2 linked regions of the Neodiprion lecontei genome follow. The protein of the gene in region 1 purifies or fractionates together with the protein of each later gene. This does not show direct contact. Links are inferred from orthologs where the notes say so. Each region holds a gene or a part of one and is shown on either strand. Other genes may lie near its edges.

The links.
Region 2: the proteins of isoleucine--tRNA ligase, cytoplasmic (region 1) and leucine--tRNA ligase, cytoplasmic purify together in Homo sapiens (affinity purification with mass spectrometry; 7 studies listed by BioGRID and IntAct, counting the BioPlex papers as one, with this or other methods). This does not show direct contact. The link is inferred for Neodiprion lecontei from reciprocal best matches to the Homo sapiens genes IARS1 and LARS1.

Annotation. Positions count from the first base shown.
Region 1 is NC_060260.1:8,071,967-8,088,396, reverse strand, and holds isoleucine--tRNA ligase, cytoplasmic, read right to left. Parts: upstream 5,408-16,430; 5' UTR 4,981-5,407; coding exon 1,213-4,980; 3' UTR 664-1,212; downstream 1-663. Other genes in the region: transmembrane and ubiquitin-like domain-containing protein 1, read left to right, coding at 1-316; E3 ubiquitin-protein ligase listerin, read left to right, coding at 11,454-11,498, 11,884-12,093, 12,150-12,416, 12,486-12,601, 12,687-13,041, 13,122-13,309, 13,390-13,525, 13,653-14,345 and 6 more. UniProt on the Homo sapiens protein: Catalyzes the specific attachment of an amino acid to its cognate tRNA in a 2 step reaction: the amino acid (AA) is first activated by ATP to form AA-AMP and then transferred to the acceptor end of the tRNA.
Region 2 is NC_060265.1:7,202,817-7,218,140, reverse strand, and holds leucine--tRNA ligase, cytoplasmic, read left to right. Parts: upstream 1-3,377; 5' UTR 3,378-3,533; coding exon 3,534-3,536; intron 3,537-3,843; coding exon 3,844-4,056; intron 4,057-4,194; coding exon 4,195-4,404; intron 4,405-4,538; coding exon 4,539-4,700; intron 4,701-4,813; coding exon 4,814-5,058; intron 5,059-5,143; coding exon 5,144-5,369; intron 5,370-5,453; coding exon 5,454-5,672; intron 5,673-5,794; coding exon 5,795-6,248; intron 6,249-6,359; coding exon 6,360-6,498; intron 6,499-6,570; coding exon 6,571-6,841; intron 6,842-6,934; coding exon 6,935-7,182; intron 7,183-7,271; coding exon 7,272-7,506; intron 7,507-7,591; coding exon 7,592-7,849; intron 7,850-7,925; coding exon 7,926-8,141; intron 8,142-8,220; coding exon 8,221-8,449; intron 8,450-8,537; coding exon 8,538-8,743; 3' UTR 8,744-8,830; downstream 8,831-15,324. Other genes in the region: potassium/sodium hyperpolarization-activated cyclic nucleotide-gated channel 4-like, read left to right, coding at 9,858-10,003, 10,157-11,348. UniProt on the Homo sapiens protein: Aminoacyl-tRNA synthetase that catalyzes the specific attachment of leucine to its cognate tRNA (tRNA(Leu)).

The sequences.
Region 1 (16,430 bases):
ACGACCAAATCCTACGCCTGCAGTTCAGTCAGGCACATCAGACAATGCCTCGCCACTGTACTTTAACCCTCAATCATTCCAAGACTTGCCAGCAAGTGCAGGTCTTGCAGGAGGACGGCACGACTGGGATCTTAGTAGACTTTTAGTTAGCATTTTGACAGTAATTTTGGGTCTCGCTTGGTATTCACGATACCATTATGCTCAGTTATTCACGGCAACTACTACTCTCGCACTATACGCGCTCACCGCTATGTTTACCGTTGCACTTTTCGGCCATTTTTTCCCTGATCAAGATAGTATTAGAAACATTGAATAAAAACGACCTTAATCATTTTGGAAAAACTGGACAATGTTATATGAAATATTTAAAACACAGTTACTACGGATAAAGTGACTTGATCACGTGAAATCTTGAACATTTTGTCTCGGAATAAACGCAATGTCTTTACATTAAGTAAGGACGAAGTCTGTTTTCAATTTTCAGACATTGACCGTTGCATAACAAGAGTCCGGAAAGTATACTGTTACCTTACAAATATCAGGAAGAGGAGAGAATATTTCGGAAAAGAAAATTCTTATGTAAATTTTTCTACCACGTACTACTTTTCAATTTTAAATATATATATATATATATATATATATATATATTTTTTTTTTTTGTAAAATATAGGTGATGAAAAACTGTTGGCATTAAATTTGCTATGAATTAATTCTTGTTTAATTTAAATGATACGCAAATTCTAAACTTTGCCGTGTATATAGAATGTAAAAAAAAAAAAACCATCGTTGTTACATTGAAATAGCAGGTTTATATTTCAGTTACCATGTTACATGCGTACAGAATGCAGTTTGAGTTATTTTATAAATTATTGCCACCCGTGATGAGCTTATGTTAAACTTAACTTGTTTGTTATATTTTCCGAACGTTATCTTTATTTTTAAAATGTAGGAAGAATAAACCAGAGGTTAAAGAATCAAATTGTCAAATTGACTAATAATTAATATAAATCTCAATTTTATTTATAAAATAATTCCTATAATTTACATACATACGCAATCAAAGAACTACTAATTGCCACCTGGCGTTTTCTTATTCCAGTAAAAGATTGAGCCACAATCAAGTATTAGCATAAAATCGTTTTTCAAAACTTTGTTACCTGAATTCAAGTAGCAAAACAAAAAGAAGAGAAACGACGAAAATCGAATACATTATTATTTGGCTTCTAATGTTGTCCCATTGAGTTTAAAAATATTATCTGCTGGTACATTAGAAAAATTAACATTTCCAAACACTAATAATCTTTGATGCAAAGCACTATTGTCCAAGGCAAAATTTCCTACAGGATTTTCAAGTAGGATGACACCCTTTTGGGATTTCGATTTTACATTGACAAAGTGACAAACAGGTAATTTGTTGTTTACATTTGATATGGACGGACATGTACCAGCTGGAACAATTAATATTGTCTGCGTGTGTAGCGACGTGATTGGTGTTGACTCAGTAACTAGTTTTCCATCAGAATACAAATCGTAGTGACAGCCATATATACCAAATATTTTCTCGATCTCAGAATTCAGTTGATTATACGATATGCTGACACCTCCGGTAAAATTTTCTAACAATATGGTGGCTACCGAATTAGTGGCCCCAAATCTTGGTTTAAGATTAACGAGTTTTAAATTTACCCATTTAGAGAATGGTTCTACTTGGGAGTCGTTGAGATGTAGTCTGATTTCGGTAGAATCGGATGGTTTAACTTTTGTTAAAACAAGTTTAAGATTGACCCCCTTAACTTTTTGTTCTTCTTGTATAATAATATCATCGTCAGGAGACATCTCTGCGATATTTTTCTGAGGCGTTTTTGTAATTCCTTCTATGAACGATTTATAGCTAACAGCCACTGCAGCCAAGTTGCTACTAAGGTCCTCAATCTCGTAATACACAATAGCCTCATCAGATGGTACAAGGTGTGCTTTCTTCCTTAGTTTCTGTACACGGTTTATTATTTCACGTGCAACCCCTTCGTGCTGCATTGTTTCATCTGGAGTAACATCCAGAAGAATCAGGATATCTCCTTCACTGTGTGCTTCGTATTGTTCAGAAAATTTTTCAGCTGCTGGACCGGTGAAGCTAAACATAAGCCGAATATCTTCAGGCCCTAATTCGTGACCTTGTACTTCAATTTTTTTTGTTGCAACAAATTTTTGTAGATCTTCATCCGATAGTTGCTTGATAGCTTGCATTATAGATTTGAACTCGCCCTTCAGTCTAGCACCAAGCGTTTTATGATCTGGCTCAGCACGTAATATAACGCCATATTTTTCTTTGTCAGTTGTAGTAGTGAGCTCCCTTATGTTCAATTCTTCAAGTATATATGTTTTGAGTGAATTGATATCTTCTAAAACTTTGGGGTCTCGATGGATTACCACAATTCCTGGCAATGGATATTTTACAGGAATAGTTTTTCTGTCTCTAGCAACTCTTCCGAGCTCAATTACTGTTTGCATGTGAGAAACTGCTTTTTCGATAGTTTCGTCAATAAGAGCTATGTTTGGATCAGGAATCATTTGGTAATGAACGCTGTCCATGTTGCCTTTGGTTGCTACAATTAACTTGGACAGTCGTTGGAACATGAATTCAGTTAAAAATGGTGTAAACGGTGCATTTATTCTCACCATTGTATAGAGAACAGAGAATAACGTGTTCAGCGCTTGTTCACAATCTCTTGTTCCTCCATCACCTTTTATTCGTTTTCTGTTCATTCTTACGTACCAATTGGTTAGATTATCTATAAATTTTATCAGTCGAGGTACGACAGTGTAAAGTCTATAAGCTTGCATTTCTTCTTTTAGAAATTGCAGCAATGACTGAGTAAAAGAGGTGAGCCATCTATCCATTATATTGTCCGACGAGTCAGAAATCTTCTTGGTTTCATTGTAATTAAATGGTAGTTTTTCTTCACGTTCAAATCTCTCAACATTTTGCATCAAAAATCTAAATGCGTTATACCATGGCAAAAATACGTCTTTTATAATGTCTCGCACACCTTCTTCTTTGAAGCGCAAATTTTCAGCCCTGACTACTGGGGAGTTGATCAAGTACAACCTTAGAGCATCAGCCCCAAATTTATTAAGTACTTCTTTTGGATCTGGATAATTCTGCTTTCGTTTCGACATCTTCTGACCATCGGCAGCAAGGACCAGACCATTAGCAACTAGATTTTTGAACGGTGCCTTTCCAAATAATGCTGTAGAAATTACCAGCAAGGTGTAAAACCAACCACGAGTTTGATCGATACCTTCGGCGATGAAATCAGCTGGGAAACTATCTTCAAAGTCTTTGACTCGTTCAAAAGGGTAATGCATTTGAGCATAAGGCATGGATCCAGATTCAAACCAACAGTCAAATACTTCCGTGACACGTTTAAGAGGAGGATGCCCAGGACGCTTAGAAGGAATGGTCAGATGGTCTATACTTTCTCTGTGAATATCTTCAATCTTGGATCCAGTCAACTGCTCTAATTCTGCAATACTTCCAACACACACAATTTCCATTTTGTCCTCGGACACCCAGAGCGGTATGGGATTACCCCAGTAACGATTTCTACTGATGGCCCAGTCCCTAGCATCTCGAAGCCAATTACCGAAACGTTTGTCTTTAACATATTCAGGCACCCAATAAGTTTCAGAGTTTGCGGTTATTAGCTTGTCTTTGAATTGTTCAACCCTAATAAACCAAGATGGAACTGCTTTGTAGATCAACGGAGTATCGGACCTCCAACAGTAGGGATATTTGTGTTTGCTGGTTCCACTGTGAACAAGTTTTCCTTTTCCTTGCAGATGCTTTATGATATTTTTATCAGCAGTCTTGACATACTGACCCAAAAAGTCACTTACTGGCTCTGTAAAATTACCGCAGTTATCAACAGGGCAGACAACAGACTGATCACGAGTTATTATTCCTGCTGCCAAACAGCAGCGATAATCATCCTCTCCGAAGTATGGTGCTTGATGAACAATTCCAGTACCAGTTTCAGCAGTTACGTAAGTGTCGTTTAATACCACGAAGGCTCCTTTTTCCCTCAGATCGCAAAAGTAGTTAAATGGTGGCTCATAGCGTTTACCTTTAAGGTCAGTGCCCTTCCTCTTACCAACTAATGCATACTGATCTTTAGATTTGTATATAAGGTTCAAACTTGACTCAAGTATGACGTAAATTTTATTCGTAGTCAAGTCTTTCGCCTCGACATACTCAAAATTCGGATTGCAACATAATGCCAGGTTACTGGGAAGAGTCCACGGGGTTGTCGTCCAAGCCAAAATAGATATTCCAGGTTCGTCGAGCAGTGGAAAAGCGATTACTACCGAAGGATCGGCGATGTCTTTGTAGTTCTGACCAGATTCAAAATTGGATAATGGAGTATTACATCCGGTAGAGAAGGGCATTACTTTTACACCTTGATATACGAGACCTTTGTTGAATAATTCCTTAAAGATCCACCATATGGATTCCATATACCAAGGATAAAGAGTTTTATAGTCATTCTTAAAATCGATCCATCGTCCAATCCTTCCAACAATAGTTTCCCACTCAGACGCATAGCGCATTACAATGCTTCTACATTCTTTGTTATAGTTGGCTATCCCCATCTTGGCTACATCATCGGGGCCCTTGATCCCAAGCACTTTGTCGACTTCGAACTCTACTGGTAAGCCATGTGTGTCCCAGCCAAATCTTCGCTCAACATGAAACCCACGCTGATGTGCATACCTCGTGACTATGTCCTTTATTGACCCTGCTAACAAGTGACCATAATGTGGCATACCAGTAGCAAAGGGTGGCCCATCAAAGAAGGAATATCTAGGTTTGCCTTTCGACTGTTTTAAACAAGTATTAAATACGTCCAATTTTTTCCATAACTCGAGGATGACTTCTTCCTCTTTGGGAAAGTTTATTGTATCTGGTAGTTTTTCCGTCATTGCAGTGTTACAATTAGATACTTTGTGATAAACGAATGATGCAACCTGCTACTTCGCAGCCGTATTAGATTGATTTGATATTATTGTATTAGCAGCAGAAAACTATTCACGTGTGAATTCACACATCTTCCTTCACGACTCTGTGCAAATACTCTATGCAATAGTCAGCAAAAAACCGATTTTAGTTTAAATAAATAAAAAGTTTCACACCGGCTGTTCAAACGACCTCAACGCAACGTGCTTCTCTCATCAGCAGAAGTTGCAAATTGTTTTTAGGTTATACTATGGTTATATTCTCACAATCACTGTTCTAGTGTTCTAGCCTGATGATACGAGTTTGTTGGCCGTTGAAACCATAGATATGTAAAATAGAGCGTAAGCAATGGTTTAATTGTCCTATGAACGGAATCGAGTCGGTTCTCTAAAGGACAGCAGATAATAATTCTCGCGCTCTCTCTGTCGCTCTACCCATGGAGTGTGGGCTACGAGAGGGGGGATGAAAAGCCTAGGCAGGTATGTGCAGCTACCCCCACTCCATGGGAAGAGCCACAGAGAGGGCGCGCGAATTATTATCTTCCATCGTTCAGAGAACAGTTAAATCTCTTCTGAGCGTCGTGCCGTGCATCAGTCGTTTCCAAGCAATCGGAGTGAAATAACGTGTTCTCAGTATCGGTTCAAGATTCAGACCGCGTTGTTCAGGTGGTGTCACGTTGTTCGATCAGTGTATTTCCACCATACTCATCTGTGAGTAATACACGATGAGCAGCGTGTAGCCTGTGGAAAAACCGAGTGACTGAAATAAAAACACCCTGCGAATGGTGAAGGTGAATTTCGTGTCCCGAGTTTTCATTGTTTTATGTAATTTCAGATTTAAGTGATGTCTATTTTTGGCTCTGTGCAACGAGTGTCAATTTTATTCTTTTTTTTCTTTGGCTGATTTTCGGCAAATGCGCAGTTCCGTTGTTAGCAAATTTATTTGGTCGGTTCAAAGATACTGCTACAGCACAGAAAGTGAGTGTAGAATCGAGTATCGTTACGGTGCGGATTTTCGGATTATAAGAAATTACTGAAGATCTGAATAGTGTGAAAAATGCGTCACTTCACCAATAAACCTGAGATGCTACAAGAACTACTACGTGTTAAAGTGTGGAGCAGCCCAGAGTCGAGGTAACAATACTTTAATTATTGATTGATAATTCACGGTGGTCATTTAAAGCCGAACTTTTGTTCTTGCATAACATGCAATGTATAAATATGAATCTCGATAACAGTAATAATTGACTTGAAATCTGAAAAGCCGATTTCCTAAATTAATTCAAGTGTTTTGTTTTGCTTTTCACAGATTTAAGCAGAGACTTCCGAGTAACTTCTCCATTTCTCGGCAACGCTGGTGAGTTTGCATGTGTTAGGTTACGGGTTTTTCCCTGGTATTCCCCTGTCACGTGGCGTGGCGGTAACAATTGTTACACAAATCTTCGATTTCTTAGCTGCATGGTTAGGCTCATTCACGATCGCAACGTGCTTAACTTTCGGTTGAATAATTTTTTTTCGCAATGCAATTTAGCGTAGCTTACTTCTAGTTAGAGATTATACACGTTGCTTAAAGTGGAATGAGCATCGCGACAGGTAACCATCGCTTACTCGGCACTCGCGAGATCGAATTGTGTTTCGTAACTGATGTAATAATCTACGTTTGAATTTACCGATGATGCCGTTTAAGTGGTGGGTTCACCTGAGGTTTGAACATATTCAATTATTCACGTTATTGTTAAATTTATGAAATTCGAAAGTCTGGCATAACGTAACGTAATCAATTTGCATCTTATATATCATTTTCAATCTTTTAACAGCCAACAAGTATTGATCAACTGCAGGCTTAGCTCGCTTAGAAAAATGCTAATTGGCATACAGGATGTTTTTAATCACTTTTACAAAAGGTTAATGTACCGATAGTCTGCCAACATTTACTAAAATAATAAATGCAATATTAGGGTTGGCGGAATATAACCGCGATACTGTATTCTGAGTAGGCAGACTACGATACAAAAACATTTTGCTCCCAACAGGTAACCAACGAAAATGTAAGTCAGTGACCACGACGCAAATGATGAAGAATGACGTGTGTTGGAGAGAATGGAGAATCGTTTAGGTCGAATATAGGTAACCGGGTAGGTAGGTGGACGTTTTGGGATCCGTCGCGGGGTTTATGCATGAGTGTGTGAATCTCTCTTTTCCGTTGGGTGGCTTCGTTGGGAAACAGGCGAGGGTAGGAAGGTCGCGATGTACCGTGATGTTACTAACTTTTCTAATCCACAGCGTCAAACGATCACAGAAATTTTTTTACCAAAAGACTCCGCATTCGGGTCTCTCGACCATTTGACAGCAGTTGAATATAAAAGAAATTGAATTTTCCATTTGTTGTCACTCTGCGACCATTTTTCAGTCGTTATGCAATTCGATTATTTAGTCATTACCGATCGTTATTCCATTCAATTGATCTCTGTGATCGTCTGAATGGGCAAAACGCATCTCTGGACCATCTATCGCGTTCCGTGGTACGCTAGATGGGGAGAGATGCTGAGCTCGAAGACTTCGCGTCGAAGAGGACCGCCGACCGTCACGCCACACAATAATGCATGCCCTCCAACCTCCTTCCCGGACTTGATCGCATGTCAGAATAACAATCCGCATCGCAATGTGTCGGATTCAAAAAGACGCAAATGCGGATTGGGGTTCTACAGAATTTTGCGACAAGTCCTAGATATTTAAGGTTTTTGACAGGTTAATCGGTCGCGCCTTTTTGCGCGTGAATTAATAACGGGACTCGGACACGTGTTTTTGCGCGTCGATTTTGCAAACAGTACATGAAAGAGTTATGCACTATCGATGTGCTGATATTTCAGCTCTTTTGTCAATTTTTTGACGAGTAATAAAGTTTTCAAGTTCCACGCTGCCTTTTGCGCGTGGACTTGGTACCTTTCAGTTATGAGAGAAAGCGCGGCATTTGAAAACCGGCGCTCAACTCGCAGGAACAAAAATCTCTGTAGTGTACTCTGATAGTGGAAAATTTTAGCATAAGTATTTATGAAATATGTCTGAAATGTACAGACATACTCGTTTAATTGATCGTATTATTTTCTATTTTAGGGCAACAAAATCATTTTTTTAACGAATGCACTGAAAACTATAGAATGTTGAGTCGAAAAAGATATTCACTTCAATAACTCAAAGCAGAAAGAGATGTCTATTCGAAAACTTGAGAATGTTTTTTATTCATCAACACAATTAATAATCGAAGCAACGAATATTAAGGCGAATATCATGTTGGACTCGACTCATTTTTTGTCAGTGTATGGACTTACGCGATTGTGCTAACCATACCTTCACCTGTTTCAGCTAATTAAACCTTTGTCTGTTTCAGCTAATTAAACTTTTTGTCTGTTTCAGCTAATCGAACCCTCTGTCTATTTCAGCTAATAAAAGTTTTTATTTGTTTCAGCCCGTAAAACTTTCTGTCTATTTCAGCTAATCAAACGTTTTGTCTGTTTCAGGTAATCAGGACTTTCTGTCTCTTTCAGCTAATCAATCTTTTTGTCTGTTTCAGCTAATCAAACCTTTTATCTGTTTCAGTTAATCAAACTTTTTGCCCATTTCAGCTAATCAAACTTTTTGTCCATTTCAGATAATCGAACCCTTTATCTGTTTCAGCTAATCAAACCTTTTGTCTGTTTTAGCTAATCAAACTTTTTGTCTATTTCAGCTAATCAAACTTTTTGTCTGTTTCAGCTAATCGAACCCTCTGTCTATTTCAGCTAATAAAAGTTTTTATCTGTTTCAGCCCGTAAAACTTTCTGTCTATTTCAGCTAATCAAACGTTTTGTTTGTTTCAGGTAATCAGGACTTTCTGTCTCTTTCAGCTAATCAATATTTTTGTCTGTTTCAGCTAATCAAACCTTTTATCTGTTTCAGTTAATCAAACTTTTTGCCCATTTCAGCTAATCAAACTTTTTGTCCATTCCAGATAATCCAACCCTTTATCTGTTCCAGATAATCAAACCTTTTGTCTGTTTTAGCTAATCAAACTTTTTGTCTATTTCAGCTAATCAAGCCTTTTGTCTGTTTCAGCTAATTAAATCTTATGTCTGTTTCAATTAATTAATGTGTCTCTATTTCGTTAATTACAGTTTTTATTTACCTAATTTTAAGATAAGTATATTTCTGCCTGTATCGACATATGTTACTAATTATATTTTCGTCTGTTCCAGGTAACTGAGTTTTAATGACTATACTGAAAAATTAACGCTTCATTTTTCAGGCTTAGGTATGGCTTAAGTCTAGTTCAGGTCTGGTTCAGAGTCAGTCATCTTTTTTTTCACCGATATATAGATTTAGCGATGTAGTTGGTGGTTACAAAGTGTGGTACAATTTATTGCTGTAGTTTTTTTCTTGAGTCGCTCATAGGTCATGTTCGATTTGTATTTCACTATAGAATTATACAGCTCTGTTGTATTTTGGTGGTTGTGCTTATTCTACTCAGATTCGTTTCCATTTCTTCAAAGATTTCTGCATCGTCTTTCAATAGGTAAATGCCAACGTCTTACAGCGATTCGTGTTTTCAATCTTGGTTTAGTTGTTGATTGTGTTGCGTATTCACCAGGTTCTCCATTTTAATGATCATCTCATACCTCATAGGAAAAAACCCGTGCGCGAACATCCAAAGTCAATTCACGTTCACTTATAAGATAAAAACAATCACCCTTCATCCATAATTAAAACAACCATCTTTCATCTATAATTAAAACAATCATCTTTCATCGATAATAAATAGTCAGCGGGATATACGAAGTGAAAAATTTCGACTGAACTGCGAATATACACGAGTTCAAATTGATTGGGAAAAACAATTTACCATAATTAACATGTGAAAAAAAGTCATGTGCAAGTTTTCGAAGAACGTAAGATCGATCTTGCAAGTATTCTCCGTGGAGTAGGCCTACTGGGGATACCACGTAAAAAAAAACGCGCCGGGTGCTCTACCGCTTGCGGTGGTGTGGAAACGAGCATAAGTGAACTTATTTTCACTGGTGAAATACTAACATATTGTAGTTTTTCAAATGACAATTTTATTCTTGCGTAAATTTAAGCATTGTCAATAAAACTCATGCTTCAATAACATGTAATGCATGTGGAATCGTAATACCGTCGGATTTCTCTAGTTTAGTTAAAGTGAATTCGTAAATTCAAATTTACCTGCGCTTTTTTTTACCTATATGTATATATATATTTCTCCAAAACTGACAATCACCCCACTATTGGATCCCGATGCTGTTCCAATAACTCATCAACGACACATATTTCTTGGATACTTACGAAGCAATTACATGAATTTCTAACAAGTTCCTTGTAATTTTAACATATGTAATGTAACTCATTAACGTTCTACCAATGTCTCCGCTTCACTTCATGAAATTCTTCTACCTAGGTCTGCAAAATTTGTAAATTCTGTTTGCGGAAATCTACAGAAAACTTCGATAGATCAGAATCTTGTCTCAGAAAAAACCAATGGATTATTGGAAGCGGAAAACTCTTGAAGCTTCCGAAAGGTCTTACAACCTTTCGTCTGTATTTTTTTGACAGAGATATTGTAGATAATTGATGAAAATTTGATCATAAAGAATTTGGAAAATCTATCCTTAGGTGATATCCATTCGTGAGTTTCTGATATCCTATATATAGTATTGACTATGTCTCCCATCCTTTGCATCAAGAAGTGGTTTTTCTAACTCTGTTAGCAGTAAACCATGTGCATGTTTATTGCGCATCTATTTAGATAATGTTATTTTTGTTTATCCGGTGGAGTTAGATTGACATTGCCGATTACAAGGACAGAAGTTACATACAAGTACCATTACATATGTCCTTCATAATACCTCCGGCTATTTTCCTATTGTTTATATCAATAACTGGTTTCTAACAGCCAATCGTGTATATCTATGTTGTGCACGGATTCAAATAAAATTATTTTTGTCGATATGACGGAGATGCAGTAAGATTAACATTGCTGAATTGGGTTGAAATGAATCGCCGTAAATGAATTTGCATGGTTGTGGGTTGGCGACGGTGTACGGCTCGGTGGTCGTTTCATAGTCATAATAACATCCGACACTGCATCAACCATCTGGGTACACGTGATGATAATATTAGTCCTGTCGTCTTTACGTACCGACCGTTTACCGACTTGAGTTGCGCGACGCAGAGAGCACTACTGATTGACCGAATTTTAGGGTTGTGAAATGTAAGCTGTTAGTATCTCTACATTTTTTTTATACACTGTGGAGCGATACGTAAGTCACGGACATCACTGGCTGAAATGTGGTTAGAAATTCTTCAAGGGTTGAATTTGTCAAAACATTAATAATATTGAACAGTTTCTATAATACAGTCTGGAAGTTTTATTTTAGAGACTCGTTGAAATGGGAAAAAACAAACAGGCACAACGTACTAAAAATAATGCAAGGGTAAGTGCGTGACAACAAGTTTTATTACAAGCAATCTGCTGTCAGAAAAATATGTTCAATTTTTTTACCGAATAATTCGCTTTGTCACCCGCCTATTTTTTATTCAATTAATACTCACCGAATGTGATATCCACAGGGTTTCACTGACTAGCTGTTTTCTGATATTTTGTTCAATTGTATTATGAGTACATTTGTAACGATGACAGCGTGTGTCGCTGGCTGTTTTAGACAGAGATACCAATCTTCATATCCCTGCCAGAGTCTTTGACTGGCAGCTTATAGATTAATAAATCTAATATTTTGATGTCCAATTTTTTATTTCATCATTTTCTATATCTGTTGATACAAATGGTCTAAAATTGAAGAGTTCAACTATTTATTATAGCCATCAAGTAGCGGTCGCAGTGCAGAGCTGCTCGAAGCCTCAATGCCCAACTTCGTTGGGTTTTCAGGGGCAAAGGATGGAGGATATATTCCCCTCTTACCAAGACTAACGATTAGTACCTTGGACGAAATCGACATGAGTAAACTGGACTCTCACTTTCAACTGCTGTTGAAGAAAATGAATAAAAAAGATGGAACGACAAAATTAAAGGTGAATCCTCGTTGAATTTGTTGGTTCGGTATTTTTATGCTCAGAAAATTTTACAGGCATTGCAGGAGTTTACTGAGCTATGCAACAACTCGACCGCAAAAACTATTCTAGCAGTCCTTCCATTTTGGCCCCGCATATATTGTCTGCTTGCTATTGATGTGGAACATAGAGTTAGAGAAGCTGCGCATGTGGCGCATTTGGCCATTGTTAAACCTGCGGGAAGAAATATCGCTCCGTATTTGAAACAGCTGGCTGGACCGTGGTTTACGTCACAGTATGATACATACGCGCCTGCAGCCTCTGCTGCTACCAATGCTTTCCAGGTATAATAATTAATAACAGCAGGTAAACAATCTTCCAGACCGCAAGTAATTCCCATTTACTTTTTACAGCAAACATTCCCACCAAATAAATTAGCAGACGCAATTGCACACTGTCAGGAAGAAATTTTGACTTACATCTGCGACAATATAACAAATCAAACGCCGCAAACCCTTGGAAATAATAAGTATGCAAAAATACTATGTATTTTTGTGAAGAGGGTAATGTGTCAATGACATATGAAATTTTTTATTAATTTCTTTGATTTTAAGGACAGTTACACCTGAAGAAATGGACATGAGATACCAGAGATTATTGATATCAAGTTTACAAGGATACTCTTTATACTTGAAAACAATTTCTCCTCAGCAAATAGAGAAGGTGGCAAAGATTCACGATAAAATTTTATCACACAATAAGTTCTGGAAATTGGTTAAACATGAAATACCTCTAGTCAGAGCTGGATTCTTCAATGTTCTTGCCTCAATGATTCAACACGCCGAAGAATTGTACAAGAACGAGAAAAAGAAATTGATCACCACCATTATGAACAATCTTGATGAAACAGATCCTGGTGTCTTGCCAGTTGTGTGGGAGGCTGTGCTTCTTGCAATATGTAAAATAGAGGTAATAGAAAGGATGACAATGTACATATTCAGCTGCAGAATTAGCAAATTGATTATTAGAGTTTAATTCATGTTCTCTAGGGTTGGCATACAGTAGTCAGCATTGAAAAGCTCATAATACCTAAGTTGTGGCATGTTTTAAGAGAAGGAGGTAATGGCAGCGCCAATGCAATTTATCCTAATTTGCTGCCCTTCATCAGCCACTTTCCTATACAAAACGAGAACAAGATGAACTTTTACACAAATTTCTTTAATAATTTACGGAAGGGGTAATTGTTCACCTAAGTAAAAGTAATTGGGCAGCAAATAGAAAGTGAAACAAACAAATAATCATAATTATTTCGTACAGCTTTAAAGTCAAGAGCGTTCAACTCAGCTACTCAGAGATGCTGGCAGTGGTCACTGCATTCGTCGAGTGTTTGCGTTATGTGATTCTTTTGAATAATGAGGATGAAATCTTGTGCGAAACTTTACTGAAACAACAGGTAAAATTATTTTTAATACTAACTATTAATAACTCAAGTGATGATCATTAGGAACAATGAAAGTAAGTAAGTGTTAAATTTGGAATACCAAAATTTGTAAAGTATATATTTTATTTTCACGTTCTAGTTGATGCCAACATTGGAATGGTGTTTGGTAGAGATTTCACCAGTGAAACCTTTGATTTTTAAACAAATAAGCCAGCTCATTCGTTATTGGAGTAAAAATCGAAGCGTCGCCGATTACAAGTCGTATGGTCATTTAGTTCAACAATTTTGGTCTACTCTTGAGGAGACACTTTTGAATCTAATTCATTCTACTGAAGCAAATTTTGATTCAGTTCACATTTCAAACTTGTATGACTCATTGCTGGACTTGTTTCTCAGTTTAAAAAATACCACATTAGAGACTCGCAAAAATTTGAGAGTCAAATTTTTTGATTCAAACGACCGAGCAGAAAAAAGCGACGAAGTTTTGCCTAAAGTTCCAGAAGAAGACCTGAAGTATTGTACAGAATTAGCTCAACTAATCAACAAAATAACTTCCGTTCATTTTGATAACATCAATAAAGATTCTTCTGAATCAGCTGTCATGTTAACCTGTTATAAATTAATCACAAACTTTGAAAGCAAAGACCTTTTTATTGCATTGACAAAATCGTGTGGAAAAGATACCAGTTTTCTCGATTTTTACAATAAGACTTTGAGAAAATGGTTGATTGAAAAGCCAGAACAGACGGAGCTATTGATAATGTTATTGTTCAGCCTCATCAAATATTTGGATAAATTGGACAAGAAAACAGTTCTTGCTTCATTATCAGAGGTAGATATTCCGTCCAATAAGTAATTAATTCAAAAATGTCTTGAAAATAAATTTTATGATAAATTGTCCAAACAAATATACAAAGTGCAAACTTACAACAGTTACAGAACGAAAATAAAATAATCCTTAGGCATGCGGTCAAGTGTGCTTTGTTCAAACATAATAGGAAGGATCCTGCAGTAAAAGAGTGGTTTTCACAAGCTGAAGTGTCGTCTGTGTTACTAGATGTGACTAAACAAGTAGCTGTTAATGAAACTACCATCGATTTGGATGTGAACAAAAAAATTCTCATGCAATGTTTCGAGTGTTCTGATAATACCGGTTAGTTACTGTATTAATTATTCTTGTTTTTCATCATTTTCTATAACAGTACATTTAAAAATAATCGCGTCTTTGCATTTTCAGATTTAATTATCAGTGATTCTACATTTGATGACATTGTCTCAATCCTCTGTAAAGGTTTGAATGAACAGAGTCAAGATAATCTCAACTCACTCGTTGAATTGGTTTCTGAGATATCCTCTGCAACTTGGACTCACAACAAACTAAGGCTAGGAGTTGTCAAAATTATCGAAACTATGTTTGGATTAAGTTGCACACTTGACTTAGATAGCAGTGCTTTCCCGATAAGAAAAACTGTTCAGAATACATGGAAAAATGGGCTGGTCCAGTTAAAAACGATGTTATCTCCCGCAAAACTTGTTGACCTTACTAAAAAATGTGCAGACATTCTATGGGCAAATATCTTTCTGTCGTAAGTTACTTGTTTTTGAAATATGGTTCTAAGAAAGCAATGTAAGCTATTGATTTCTGTTATTCATGTATTCATTTTTGTACTATTTCTCTAGAGAACACCTATATTCTTTAGAAAAATTAGTGGAAATTGCAGTCAGCTTTATAAAAGCATTGGTTGAAGACGATGATGAAAATGAGCATACAAAAAATGTCATTTCTGCTTTTACTGCTGGGTCGAAGATGGCTACTTGGTTGGCTGATGTGACAACAATAGTTCTGTATGCAGAAGTAGTGTCAGGAAATTTAGCAACGATGGAAACGTGTTTTCAGACAAAAATCGGTCAAGATATTGTTAAAATCGACTTGGAACAAAAGTATCCTACAGACAATATAGAAAACTGTGTTAGATGGGCTTTATTGAACATTAAATTACTAAAAAAACTCTTCATGAAAAAATCTGAAGGCCAAGACGATATCGAAGACGATTCAACAGAAGTTCAAGATATGGATATTGTTAAAGTCAATGCATTACCTGTTATTGAAGAGACTATGTTGAATATTCTACATATTGTTGCTACAGGATATTTGTATGGTTTACACTATACTTCAGTGAGTAAATTTCTATGTTTGGTGTACGTTGCTCGGTTAAAGTAATTAAAAGTATTTTACACGAATTTACATTTTGCAGACAAAACACTTTAATGGGATTAGCACCCTGTTTACTGATCTAAAAGAGGAAGTTAAAGTTACATATACATTGCTTGGAACAGACATACGTGAGAGTAATCTCAAGTTCATCCTTCAAAAGTAAGGCAGTATAAAAACAATAAATATATTATCATCATGTACAAGTAAGTAACAAATTTATCAATTCACTCCTGTTGGATTTTTTAGTTCTGGAGTTTACGTTGGAATATGGCCTCATGTGTTACGTCTTTTTTGCATGGAACTAGCACCGTGTGATAGTCTAACTACTAAATTCAGAGAAGATTTCAGCATCACAAGTTCTGCCTCAAATAATGTAAACGAAATTGGCGCTCAACTTCAAGCTGTTCAGGTATATTTTTTCAGATTTTGTATGAAATGTTTATTTTATCAATTCTTGACGCATTATTATTAATTTTAACACTGATCCTAGGTTTTGTCTGATTACCTAAACATGGAAGATATTCCATTACAATTGGACAATAATGTAAACGCACTCGTAGTAGGACGGAGCTTGCTTGGCGGTGATTCAGAAAAAACCTTGACATATTTTATTGCAACTTTAGATAAAGTGATAAAGCTCTACCAAGAGGATAACGGCTTCTTACTTTTTGATTGGTATGTGAAAAAAGTAATGTTCGACAA
Region 2 (15,324 bases), on another chromosome or scaffold:
GAAAATTCAAGATCGAGAGAGCAAATGAAAAGTTGTTGGAATAATTATGAATACTAATGTTATGGAATACATGGAGCGCGCGTCGAATAGAATCCCATTTTGAAATGAATAATTCTTCTCTTCATATCATAGCTAATCTAGTAATATAGGTAAATAGGATGGTTGGAGGTGTTCGGAAATGGTAGGAGGTGGTCGGCGCTGGCAGAAGGTGATAGGGGATGGTCGAAAGTGGCCATTGATGGTGGGAGGTGGCAGGGGGAGGTAGGAGGTGTTCGAAAATGGTAGGACATTTCAAAAGTTAAAGTCGACGATGATCCGGTGCGTAATTTTATCGTTACAGATTTTCTTTTCCCGTGAGGCATAGAGTATTCAACAACGATAATGCAGTCCTTAAAATTCATCATTCATCTCTGTCTGAAAAGCTAATTCGCAAGGCGTTGTATTCTATTCTATTTGCATTATCAGAAAAATACCCGTACTCTACATACACTGTTTCTAATCTTTTGCTACATTTGGCTTAATCCCCATGCTTCCACAGCACGAATAGTCGGAAATGTTTTTGATTATCCATAATAAAATAAAAGAGGTAACAAAGCTTAAATTTATTGTTAAAGCTCTAATGAATACATCAAATTGCGGTCGAATTCATTTATTATTTGCACATCTCCTCTGTATATTTGATAAATTATTCCTAAATACGTTGAAACATATGTATTTATAATGAAATATCATGCAATGGGCTGTGTAAACTATAAACTATAATTTCTATCGAATAGCTGCTTTTATGTCAACAGGGCTTTGAGACTCAGTTCAGTTCGTCCTCCTCCTCGTCCACCTCCGACCACCTCCAACAATCGCCAACCACCTCGAACAACCACCGATAACCACCTCGGGTTGTACCTGGAATAGCAATAAATATTTTCAGTATAAGAACACATCAAAAACATTACGTAAGGATTCATATAATTAATTAAGTGATTGACAATATTAATAATTTCATTAGCGCATTCATAGCTACCGAATTTGTGCTTGCGCGGAAAATGAATTGAAACAATTTATTGTAAACGTGACAAGTCTGTAATATTTTAGATGAAATATAATTACAATTGTCATCAAATATTATAAAAATGTTTTACTCACCGAGCACAAATCCTCGTCCTTGTCGTCCAACTCGTTCTCCTTGTCTTCCTCGTCCTCCTCCTCGTTCACCTCCGACCACCTCCAACCACCTCCAATCACCTCGGGTTATACCTGAAATAGCAATAAATATTTTCAGTATAAGAAAACATCGAAAACAATCCGTAAGGAATAATATAATCAATTAAGTAATTAACAATATTATTAATCCCATTAGCGCATTCACAGCTACCGAATTTGTGCTTGCGCGAAAAATGAATTGAAATGATCTATTGTAAACGTAACAAGCTTCAAAAAATTTCAGATAAAATATAATTACAATAGCCATTAAATATTATAAAAATGTTTTACTCACTGAGCAGAAATCCTCGTCCTCTTCCTCCTTATTCACCACATGTCCCTGAAGTCGAGTTTCATTAGGTAGTGGACTTGGAGCGCAGAAGCTACGGAGCGCTTGTCCTGGAAGTTGAGTTTTACCAGGTAGCGGACCTGGTGCGCAGAAACCACGGAGCGTTCGTCCTGGAAGTCGAGTTTCACCAGGTAGTGAACCTGGAGCGCAGGAACCACGCAGCGTTCGTCCTGGAAGTCGAGTTTTATTAGGTAGCGGACCTGGAGCGCACGAAATACTGAGCGCTTTTCCCTGAATCAAGTTTCCCCAGGTAGCATACCTGAAGCGCAGGACACACGGAGCGCTTGACCTGCAAGTCTAGTTCCTGCAGGTAGTGGGCCTGGACAGCCAGAACTACGGAGCACTTGTCCTGGAAGTCAAGTTCCTGCTGGTAGTGGACCTTGAGCGCAGAAACTACGGAGCGCTTTTCCTGGATGTCGAGTTGTACCAGGAAGCGGACCCGGAGCGCAGGATCCAGGAGGTAGAGAACCCGGCACTCGAAATCTGCGGAGCGCGATTCTCATCCGCCCGCTCTATTGCGCGGTTGTTCCCAGACTGAGGAATTCAACTAGCTGATTTTAGATCGATGACGTCAAGAGAAAAAAATTTTGGGTGACGTCACTTTCTGAACATCCGACATCCAATCTTTGGTTTCGAACTTTAATGCTACGTATGATATGATGATGTATGATGTGATGTATGTATATATGATAAGATGTATAATGATTTTAATATTCGCATTTCAGACAAGAAATACGCACTTAATCTTTCCTGCCGATTCCAGACTCAAGCGGCTAGGCCCTATGGTGGTCAGCCGTTGACTAAAGATATATTCTTCAGCTAACGGGTCAGCTAATATCGCTGTCGTACTGCGGCAGTTGGATGATAAAAATTTTTGCTCGTACCTTTCAAATGTGTTCAAATACACTCGAAGTTTTAACAAGCTTCGTTCTATCTCTCCCTATCAAAAAAAAAAAATAAATAAAAATCGACGACAATCACCTTTTTAGGTCTTTAAATCAGAACACTGCGTTAAATACTGTCTCAAATACGGACCATCCGTTTCATCTCGATCAAAATTAGCGCATCCGTGATGTATTACAGTTACTCTGAATTTTTCTGATTACGAACACTTTTCGAAAAACAATTCTGCTTCTCTACCCAACGTAGATACTTCACTTGCGACTAGCTAAAACAGCGTTTTGATTCCATGCCTACGAAAATTCAAGATCGAGAGAGCAAATGAAAAGTTGTTGGAATAATTATGCATATTAATGTTATAAAATACACGGCGGTGCAGGGGGACGAGGAGGACACAGGCGGTCGGAGGTGGTCGGAGGTGTCCGGAAATGGTAGGAGATGGTAGGAACTGGTAGGTGGTGGTTGTCGGAGGTATGAGGTGGTTAGAGGCTGTAGGGGCGGTAGGAGGTGGTCGGAGATGGCATAAGGTGTCGGTCGGCGGCTGGAGGGGGTAGGAAGTGTTTGGAGGTGGTTGGAAGTGATCGGCGCTGGTCGAGGAGGACGAAGATGACATGGACGTCGATGGTCGGCGTGGAGGCGGTGGACGGAGACGAGGTGGACAAGGAAGACGAAGGTGGTCGGAGGTGGGCTGAGGTGGTTGACGGTGGTTGAAGGTCGTTGCGATGGTTGGCGGTGGACGCTGTTACGCCTCTTCTCACGGGAATGATCGAGCTGATCGACATTTCTAAGTCGCGGTCGACAAATAGTCTTACGTACTCACTTTGTACCGACTCAATCTCAACCTTCCATACCGACACTACTTTGGCTGCCAGGAATGTCGGTGCGAACTAGTTAGGTAGAGTCGATAGAGCAGAAAACTCCTACGCTCCCAGGCCCACTTGGGCCCACTTGCCCGCCGAAAACTGGTCACAAAAATTTACCCAGGAGTATCCGTCTTTATATTCTTCAGTCAACGTCCATGCGTTCGAGTCGAAGCCGTGGCTATATGTGGAAGCCGTTCGACTTTTATAAATAAAGAAAGACAGATATGGTAATTATTAGAGAAAATATTATCGTATAATCTTCATATTCTACATATTAAACACAAAAACCCAAATGTGGCTACAAAGTACCGTTATACCAAATACCGCAACAGCACGTAACCTCTCTTTGACACTACCCATCTGCTCAGAATTCACCAGGTATATTCATGTGATTGCGAGCAGGTATTCTCGAAATAACTCAGCTATAAAATCATTGACCAAATTCGGCTTTCATTTTTTCTGATCAATGTCATCAGTCCATAACGTGTACAAAATATGCTAAGGTGTGACGCGTTAATATTTATTATATTACAGGCAGCGGAAAGAAAAGGTACCTTTAAGGTTGAGTACCTGCAGAAGATTGAAAGAGATGTCCAAAAGCAATGGGAAAATGCTAAGGTATACGAAGAAGATGCTCCATTGTCTCAAAGACAATCGCCAGATGAAAAGTTCTTGGCTACTTTTCCATTTCCATACATGAATGGACGTCTTCATCTGGGGCACACTTTCTCTCTGTCCAAATGCGAGGTATTTTAATGTAGCTGATTTATTTATCATTCATCTACATTTTATTATATTGTCAATCACATGAAATGATATCTTATCATAAACACAATGTTGAATATAGAAATTTATCTGTGAGTATGAATGTACCGTAATTTTCAGTTCGCAGTTCGCTACAATCGTCTCTTGGGCAAAAAGGTTTTGTTTCCATTTGGATTTCATTGCACAGGCATGCCTATAAAAGCTTGCGCTGACAAACTTAAGAGAGAAATGGAAACGTATGGAAACCCACCAAAGTTTCCACTCGACGAAGAAGTCGTTACTGAAAAGATTGACGATATTGTCATGAAGGATAAAAGTAAAGGAAAAAAGGTTGTTCATTTTTCAGAGCCTTCGTTGCACTTCTTTTCACATGCAATGTGCAGTTAAAACATTTACAAAATTAGTATTACAAATTTCATTTAATAATTTCTGTTTCTCAACATTTGACAAACTCGCGTTTTCAGAGCAAAGCTGTAGCCAAAGCAGGTGGCGCGAAATATCAGTGGCAGATTATGCAGAGCCTTGGATTAAATGATGAGGAAATCCAAAAATTTTCAGATGCCAATTATTGGTTGGATTACTTTCCACCGCTGGCTGTGCAGGACTTGAAATCGATCGGAATACATGTATGTGGTATCAGCAATTGAAAGATACATTTACTTGATTGTTGAAAGTCTTCAAGTCAGATGAGAAATTTTTTTATTTAAATATATCTAACTTTTTATTTTACGCAAACTAGGTAGACTGGCGACGCATGTTCATAACAACCGATGCGAATCCGTTCTTTGATTCTTTCGTTAGATGGCAGTTCCAACATCTAAAAGCGAGAAACAAAGTGAAGTATGGAAAGCGGTACACAGTATTCTCACCCAAGGACAATCAGCCATGTATGGACCATGACAGATCCTCTGGAGAAGGCGTCGGACCACAGGAATACACCCTAATCAAAATGAAACTACTCGAATCATATCCTGCCGCACTTAAGTACATAGAATTAGTGTTCATTACTCGTCATGCACAAACTTCAATCGGTCTATTGTGAGATAAAACCCCTGTCTTTTATTCCCAGAGTTGTTCAGAGTAAGCCTGTCTATCTAGTCGCCGCTACACTGAGACCGGAGACTATGTACGGTCAAACAAATTGCTGGATTCGTCCGGACATGCGGTACGTTGCTTACAGCTTAGCAAATGGGGACATTTATATCTCTACAGAGAGAGCTGCACGCAATCTGTCTTATCAAGGCTTTACAAAAACCGAGGGTAAAATAGACATTGTTGCTCAATTGAGCGGACAGGTAATTTTTCAGCTACTTGATATTTCCTTGCAATTCATTGATCCCTACTTATGAGTATTGATTGAATGTTATACTATATACCAGGATATTCTTGGCCTTCCACTTCATGCGCCTTTATCCAGCAACGAAGTGATATACACTCTACCCATGCTTACTATAAAAGAGGACAAAGGTACGGGTATCGTGACATCAGTTCCCAGTGATTCTCCGGATGATTACGCGGCACTTGTAGATCTGAAAAAGAAGCAACCCTTCAGAGAAAAGTATGGCATCACAGACAATATGGTGCTACCTTATGATCCTGTGAGTTTAGATTCAGCGCCAAATTATAATAAATGACAGTTGTGTAGAGACAATGCCTAGAACACTCTTGAGATGAGATATTGTCTGCAGCATAATCATATTTTAAGTACTTTCATTTACAGATACCAATAATTCAAGTCCCTGAATTTGGAAATCTTTCCGCTGTAACGGTTTATGACCAACTGAAAATCCAGTCTCAAAATGATAAAGAGAAGCTTCTGACTGCCAAAGAAATGGTATATCTCAAAGGTTTTTACGACGGTGTGCTTTTGGTAGGTGAATACAAAGGGAAGAAAATTCAAGACGTTAAAAAGGACTTGCAGAAGAAACTCGTTGACGCCAAAGATGCAGTGGTATACTATGAACCTGAAAAAACGATAATATCAAGGTCAAACGACGAATGTGTTGTCGCTTTGTGTAACCAGTGGTACCTAGACTATGGCGAAGCAAACTGGAAAAAGCAGGCTGAACAAGCTTTAGAAAACTTGGAAACTTTCCATGATGAAGTTAGGAAGAATTTCACTGCATGTCTGAATTGGCTGCATGAATATGCCTGCTCTCGAACTTATGGATTAGGTATGTATTTCTCTAAATTTGTACAGTTTCTGCTGTAACGTCCAACAAAAACAATAACTTTGAATTAGTTCCTCAATTATTCCATAAAAAATAGTAGAATTGTTTTCAAAGGTACTAAACTACCCTGGGATGAATACTGGCTCATTGAGTCTCTGTCAGACTCAACTATCTACATGGCGTACTATACAGTAGCACATTTGATACAAGGCGGAACATTCAAAGGGGATAAACCCAATGCTCTTGGTATAAAGTGAGTTCAGTACAGACAAGCTTCTATTTTAGTAAGATTTTGCTACTACATTTTCTAATCCTATTTCTTCAGGGCTGAAGAAATGACTCCGGAAGTCTGGGATTACATATTTTTCAAAGATGCTAAGTTGCCACATGGATCTATAAAGAAAGAAGCGCTAGATAAAATGCGACGAGAGTTCCAGTATTGGTATCCTGTCGACCTACGTGTTTCTGGAAAAGATTTGGTCCAAAATCATCTTACCTTCTTTATTTATAACCATACCGCTATTTGGCCGGATCAACCCGAATTATGGCCTAAAGGCATAAGGGCGAATGGACATCTACTTCTTAATTCAGCTAAAGTAATGAATAGTTTGAGCTGCTTTATAATTCATGTGACATGACTCTTGAATTGAAGAACATACTCACCACAGAATCTATTTATTTATATGTAGATGTCTAAATCGGATGGAAATTTCCTTACATTGACTGACGCAGTGCGTAAGTTCTCTGCAGATGGTATGCGGCTCTGTTTGGCCGACTCCGGTGACTCTGTAGAAGATGCGAACTTTGTCGAAAGCACCGCTGATGCAGGAATCCTCAGGCTTTATACGTACATTGAGTGGATCAAAGAAGTTATGGTCTCAAAGAATACGTTCAGAAAAGGGGAGCCTAATACTTTCAATGATCGAGTCTTCCAGAGGTACGTTGAAAGCAGAAATATCATTAATGCGATGATCAGAGATACTTGTTTCATGAATTGTTTATATAATTTAAATTTTCTTTTTGCAGTGAAATGAATCTGAAGATACTTGAGACCAAGGAAAACTATCACAAGATGCTGTACAAAGAAGCACTTCGAACTGGATTCTATGAATTTCAGGCAGCGAGAGATAAATATCTGCAACTTACTCTGTCAGATGGAATTAATCTGACACTTATAATGAAGTTCATTGAAATCCAAACCATTCTAATGGCTCCCATTTGTCCGCACGTTGCCGAGCATGTTTGGACCTTGATTGAGAAGGTAAAGATACAATGCACGGTTAATGTCATGAATCCGGTCTCAAAATGTACTTGCGCCAATTCATCTGATTTCATTTTAATTATAGAAAGACAGTATTTTGAACGCCCGTTGGCCTATGGCTGGTCCGATTGATGAAATCTTGGTGAAATCTTCACAGTACCTAATGGAAGCCGCACATACTTTCAGAATCCATCTGAAAAATCAACTTACCGTGAAAAAGCCTGCTAAAGGGAAGGCTGCTCCTTCTCCTCCTGAAATACCTACTTTTGGTACGATTTGGGTGGCAAAAACATTTCCGCCGTGGCAGAGCACTGTTCTCACGAGCATGAAACAATTATTCGAGGTAAGTTGATGGATACCTGAGTATCGATTTATGGTATTATTTGCGAGAAACTTGAAACTGTTACTTTTATTTACAGAAGAATGGAGGGCAACTACCGGACAACAAAGTAATTTCTACGGAACTCAGTACCAAAACAGAGCTCAAGAAATACATGAAAAGAGTAATGCCTTTTGTGCAAGCAACAAGAGAAAAAATGGATACACTTGGTGTATCAGCTTTGAATCTAACACTTGACTTCGATGAAGTTGATGTGTTGACGATAAATCAAGATTATCTTCGAAGTACTCTAGACGTGAGTATAAAAAATATCACCGCAACGTGTTCAGTTAAATATACTCGGCTACGTATACTAAATAAATTTTCAATTTTAGTTGGAAAAAATTGAAATCAAATACTCCGACGAGGCTCCCGAAAAAACGAAAGAAGAATGCTGTCCTGGTGCACCGTATATAAGTTTCTCTACAAGACCAGGCCTTCCCGTTACCGTGGTGAATCCACAAAAGTGTAATAGCCTGTTTACCAAGATCATAAAACTCTCCGACGGAGACAGAGCAGTTGATGTCTCAGCGCGAATAGCTAAGGATAATAAATTGATAAAAGGTACAAGCATATATGAGAAATTTACTTAGTTAGTGACCATGAAGTGATTACTGATTTTGATGCTTTAAATCGTGTACTTCGTTTACAGATGCTACTTCAGTTCGCTTATACCGTTACGAAGATTCGATACTGGGGCCTAGAACTATATCAAAAGTCGACGATATACTGAATGGCAAAATTCTTGTTCCTCCAACCGCGGTTTTTAGTGTGAATTTAGATACTGGTACCGTAAAACTTGACGTAGAAGGAAAAAAATACCCAACTGGGCTAGATTTATTATACGTTGTAGAATAGCAATAGCGTTGTAAAAATGACTTATAATTTATTTACGTACTTCGCAATTTGTTTTTTTAATGAGGCGAATAAAACAAGGACAATTATAAAAAATCTCTATACGCAGAATTTGAATATAATCGAATCCACCTGTCACAGGTAAGTGATCATTTTAATCTTCAAGAATACCTACCTGTGAAGAGTGAGTATTTAAGATACAGAAAGCTGATCGACTGTCAGATGGCATGTGCATGTCGTATTCTGGGCTATTACAATGCCAAAGTAATATGTTATAGTCGTTGAGACATATTAGTTCAATCAAGCTGATTAGTTTTCTTCAAATCTTTAAAACAATTTAAACCTATTTCGCCTTCACGCCATGGCTGAAAAACAGTTGCCTACAGTAAGGCGAACCCGAGAGTTGAATATTTATAATAACTGCGAATAAAATTGTTTTGCGAGTACACTTTTCTGGCATCAAAAACAAAAGAATACTAATAACAAAGCGAACCTAGAAACTCCAGGTGACACGTTTCATACCTTTTTTTCTCGAATTGAGTTAGTTGATTATTAGCTAGGCGACAACAAACCGAGTCCTTTAATGACGGAAAAAGTTAATGAAACACAATGTTGAAAGTGCATCATGATTGCGAAATAAATTTGAAAGAAGATGAAGTATTATTCATCCCTGGAAGGGGTCCGTTTCGGTCAACATTCGGAGCGCTGCGACGCTCCTGTATGGTATCCGGAAAAAATCCAAGCGCGACAAAATATCTGCGGAGCCGAGCAGCCATCGTTTACGAAAAGCGACGTCATTTACGAAACTTTAAATACGTTATTCACCCGTTCAGTCTTTTCAGGTGGGTCCCTGAAAAAATGAATACTGTACGGCAAGATGATAATATATTATATCCTAGATTCTTGAAACTCTGGATCAGTACAATTGCTTTAATACAATGCATAATTCTACTACAACATAATAAAAATAATTTCACGTATTTATTAACCATCGGTGGTTTCTCGCATAAATGATCGTAAGTTAAATACAGATATTATCTTCGTAATTTGATAAGCATTGAAATGTAGAAGTAAGAAAAACAAACTCACGTTCTACAGACACTGGTGGGACTTCGCAATGGTACTATCCATGTATGCCCTTTGTTTGATTCTGCCATACCAAGCTGCCTTTGACATGGATCGGAAAATCCGTGGTTGGACCCAGGCGAAAAATTTGTTCATCGGTTTCTTTAACGCGGACATCATCGTGAATTTGAGGACTGGGTACGTGGCCGTAGTCAATCTTTTGTGGCAGAAATGTTATTGTTGATTGATTATGAAAAACGCTATTAAAATTCATTGAAAATTCCCGTAGACGGTTATTTGATTTCGGTATCAGTGCGTGTAAAGCAGAGATATTCATGTCCTTCTTTTCAGGTACTACGACCAAACTCTTCGGACAGTGCAACTGGATTCTTGGATGGTAGCAAAAAAGTACATGTTCCACGGTACTTTCTTTGTCGATTTGATCGGCTCGATACCGACGGACATATTTTTCTTGGCTCATTGGAACGAGCTGGTAGTATTGCGGGAGGTGACCTCGCTGATAATAATATTCAGGGGATTTTCCATGTACTCGTATACACATAGGCTAGCCACCTCCTACGACATATCGATCGGGATTGTGAACATAATAATATTCATCGGACTGATATTCCTGGCCCTCCACTGGCAGGCCTGCTTCCACTACATAGTACCACTAGCCGTTGAGTCTCTGGGGAAGCCGAAAGCTCCCGACGATAGCTCCTGGATTGCACAAAACATGCTCTGGGGGTCGACTCCTCAGACGAAATACCGCAGCAGCCTATTTCGCGCGGTTGCCATCTTCACTTGTTCCGGGTTCAACGGAGCTCCTCCTTCCACGATGGAGGACCAGTACTTGGCCATCATCTTCCAGGTGTTGTCGGTCCTCATTATGTGCAAGATGGTCGGCGCGATGATGCAGATATACAAGACCATGAACAGCTCGTCCCTCAAGTACCAGGCGATGACCGCCCAGCTGACTCAGTACATAAGGCACAAACAGCTCCCTGTGGAAAACCAGCAGCGATTCATGACCTACCACGAGTTTCGCTACCAGCACAACTACTTCAGGGAGTCGGAGATCCTGAGCACGGTTTCCAGCCAGATCAGCCAGGAGATAGGGATGCACTCGTGCAGGAAGCTGGTCGAGAACGTCACCTTCTTCAACAACTTGCCGATGTCGTTGCTGGTAAGAATCGTGGCCCTTCTTCGCTCCGAGATATTCCTCACCAACGACGTGATTGTGCGGGCCAATCAGCCGGGGGACTGCATGTATTTCATCGCCTCCGGGACCGTCGCTATTTACACCAAGTCCGGGAAGGAAGTCTGCCACCTAGAGGACGGTGCTCATTTCGGAGAAATCGCTTTGGTCATGCCGGACGAACGTCGAGTCGCGAGTGTCGTTGCTGTAGAAATTTGCGAACTTTACAGGCTGGAGCGCGCCGATTTTACTCGGACTATACACCCTTACCCCATGCTTTGGGAGCGGATTAAAAAAATCGCTATGGAACGACACGAGAAGACAACGATTTTGAACGCGCAGTGATTTTAACATTACAGTACAGATATAGTTTTTAAAGCAATCTGCAATGATAATTTGGCCATTTTGCTACAATTATAATTAATTGATAATTATCGATAGAATACACCGATATTCAGAAAGCCTAAGCTTTTCTTCTCGTCGCTGATTTCGACCGTTTTTATGCATGATTAATTTCTTTTCCAAGGAAATAGCCCGGTATATGCAAGGTACTTTTTGCTGCATATTTTCCCAAACACTCAATTTGATTCGTGAACGTTGATCGATATGATTTGTTTTTTCTTCGTGGCATAATTCATTGATTAAATACTTGAGCCACGTACGAAAACGTTGTGAATACCAGCCAGTGGTAACGTCTGTACTAACCAGCCGCCGGATTTTCATTCGAAGCATGCGAATGAAACGAGCCTTGGTAGATGCCACTAGCAACACTCTTCCAGCGACTTCCTGGACTACACAGCTTGACGTAGCCCGTATAATTATATACCGGAATAACATTTACCATTAGAAAAAAGTTAAACGACACTCATTATGAAAGGTCCCGGTTCAAGTCCCAACTTCGATATACAGCCGAATAATTGAAACGGTGATGTAATAATGCAAAAGAGCAGCTCCGCTTGTTTCCTCTGTATAATAACCAATTATACTTAGAGTCAATTATGAAAAAATCTCATTATAAATTGAGTGCGTTAATGACTTTAACAATTCAAATGGTTTTGGTGCTTCCTTGCACAGCACGCATTGTGCATGCAAACATAATTTTAACGCAATGCTCCGGAATATCGGGCTTATCCCGAATATTTTGCTAGAAGTCCCATCGCTTTCAAGAATGAGTAAAATAACACTGTTATGACGCATACAGAGTTCTGTATGCGATAACGAGAATTGCCCAATTGACATAATCAGAGTGTAGGTAACGGATAATAAGGTTTGCACTGCGATGACATAACAAGTTCAATAAGTCCACTGGCCAATGTGGTTCGTAAAAAAGTAGGTCACCACAGGGTATTATGCGCGAGTATAATATATCTACGTAACCTGTATTCGAAATAATATCGATAAATTATACGTTAATGTTATGCTTTATAACGTTAGTTTAAACGTAACTGTAATTTTACGAACGAAATATATTGTATATTATACAGGCCATGATTATCTTCATAAATCACAATACAGTTTGAATGATTATAATTAGTGTATACCAATTATCGAAGCTAAGACGGTCGTTTGTATTATCTACTACATACGTGCCTTTTAAAATTCAGAACCACACATGAAATTGCGAGATGCATGCGCAGTGGGTTATAACATTTTGTTATACCCACGTGCAGCATCTCGATACGTACGTGGTATGAATCAAATCCGGCGCGCTCCAAGATTCTGCAATAAAAATACGAGTAGTTAATTATCGCCCATAAATACATTGCGTGGTGCCACTGATTTTGACTTCCGTCCATTCGGGTTGCGATGACTCCCATATAGCTATATTCCGCATCATTTAACTCGATTAAGAATATGCATGACGTATAATAATTGTACGGTCAATCTTTCTAATTATACAATTAACGCAGTGCGGAAATGGATTTCTGAAACGGCCGTGGTCAAATTATAAGCTTATTATAGGTGTATACAGGTTGAAAAATAATTTGCCAGATTTTTTCGCAGCGCGTGACCGAACTCTCGAAATAGGGTGCACCGCGTGACTGTGTATCGTTTTCATGACTTTACGAATCAATCAATCATTCAATCAATCAGTCAATCAATCAACGAAATCAAAAGGTTGAACAGCTCTGAATTGGGTACTATGCGAAGAGTACAGGAACCGCTACTCGGCGCCGATAAAAACCCCGCCTCCGGCCTCGAATGATGAATGCCGAATAAAACGCAGTAAAGACATTTGGCACAATCGTTTGAAAATGTTAAAAAATTCTATCCGCACGGGCGAAACGCCCGAAAATCCCGATGGCGCCTACGCCGGGTACGGGAAAGAAGAGCCTCGGCCAGGGACGCCCATTCGACGGGCAGACAATGGTTTGTGCGCATCGACGCATGGGCAGAGCGCGGTTCGTGGCTGCCCCGGATGACAATAGTCGCTTAGGAAGGGCTGGGCATTGTACAATAGGTCGGCGATGCGCCTGCCTGGTAGCAACCCGCACCCTCCTCCCACACCTCCCGAGCCTCTGCTGCCACCGAATCTCCTCCGCCCCCGAAGCGTTGGCCTATTGTTATCAGCGCCGACGTGCAGCTCCCTGGGTTATGTGAATTCTGGCCACACCCCGCGACGCCAGCCAACGGGAGGGCCGCAGGCCTCCGGAGATTGGCGACCCTGCACCTGACCCCGCGCCACTCGACAATAGGCAAATCCGCGAACAGCGCCGATGTCGGAGTGAACGCCTCGCGATCAACCCTCGCGGGAACCGGGGGTGTTTCCGGTCCCCCGGGTTTTACCAGAGCTGTCTTCCGAGAGCTCCCCGGGGTTAAGGTCCTCAGCGTCTGGAGTAACCCGGTCCAAACCGAAGCGCTGTTTAGCGAAAGAGCGAGGCCAGAGCTCGTCGCCGCGGAAGGACTCGAAATGAAATCCAGAGTTTCGCTCGGATCACTGGATTGCATTGTGAAAACCGCGGAAACGATAACGCAGTTGACGAATTAGGAACTAGGTTCCATCGTGAAGCGTTCTGTGCAGGCAAACCCTTCAACTTTAATCCGCTATTAATTCACAAGTCTACCGTATGAAATTCAGCAAAAAATGCTCCACAGATATGATATGTGAATTCAGAGATAACTATCTCTTAACATCTGATGTTACGAATGATCATTTACGTTGATGTTTTTGAGTACGTGACAAAATATCAAACTCATGTCAAAACAACTGCCATTTAAGAGTTTGGTATGGCCAATGATCGATACCAACCGCTGTCAAATGATCTTTTTACTTGCCTAGAGTCAGGAATCTAGCTGAAAAATTAAAGGTAAATAGCTGAAACACCATTGACATATTGTAAACGCTACTTTAACCTGATCTTCTCCAAAGTTGAGCCCGTGGTAACGTGTTAAATACACGTTTAGAAATGTTATTTTCATCATTTCAGAGCACTTATTTTCCTCAAGTACTCAATAATCGGATTCATTAAGTTAGGTACACCGTGATTACGATAAGTTTACATAATCGAATACACTTTGCAGCAATTTCTACCCGATCTTGTACCAACGCAACAAAGTATACTATCAAGACGATTGAAGTGTGTGAGCTCCACAAAAGCTGTACACAACATTCTTAGGGTACCAGCTATAATAACCGCAAAATCTGCCGTGCTACTGTCTCGTAATTCTAACCGATTATCGGCGAACACGCGTCGGCCAACCGTCAAAACGCGACGTACTCAACATTGCGTGGCAAAATAGTTACGTACCAGCAACAAAATATCCACCAGCGGAGGCACCGGCCGGGGGTCCGTAAAGAGAGGGAGCGTGTACCCAGGCTGCGTCTCCTCCGCGGCGGGTCGATAGTCTGCGGGCCACCAGCCAACCCCTTTCGTCTCTTCCGCCGGTATTCTCCTACGTGCCCATCCTCGCCCCCGCATCCACCCCCGTAACGCTCGTCCGCCCCTCCGCCCCTCGACTCTCGGCAGGTACAGAGGCAGAGGAACCGCTGCGTTGATTGATCGTTTATCGATACGCAGGCGGGCTTGCCGGCGGCGGACCGTGTTCCCTTCTCTCCCCGCCCCTCCCGCCGCCGCCTCCACCACCCCCTCTTGGCACCGCGAGACCCGCCGCCCTCAATCATCCCCCGGCAGGCGGCGCACGCGAGCATTACACATTTATAAGCGCGTTAAACACGGGCCGCATCAGTGGCATCGAGTGGTTCGCGTACTCGCTCTCCCCGACAACCCCTCGACTCCGCCACCGCCACATCCCTTTCGACCGACTGGATCGGTTTTGTGTAAGGGAGAGCCGGTCCTGCACGCTCGATTGGTGTCTCTGT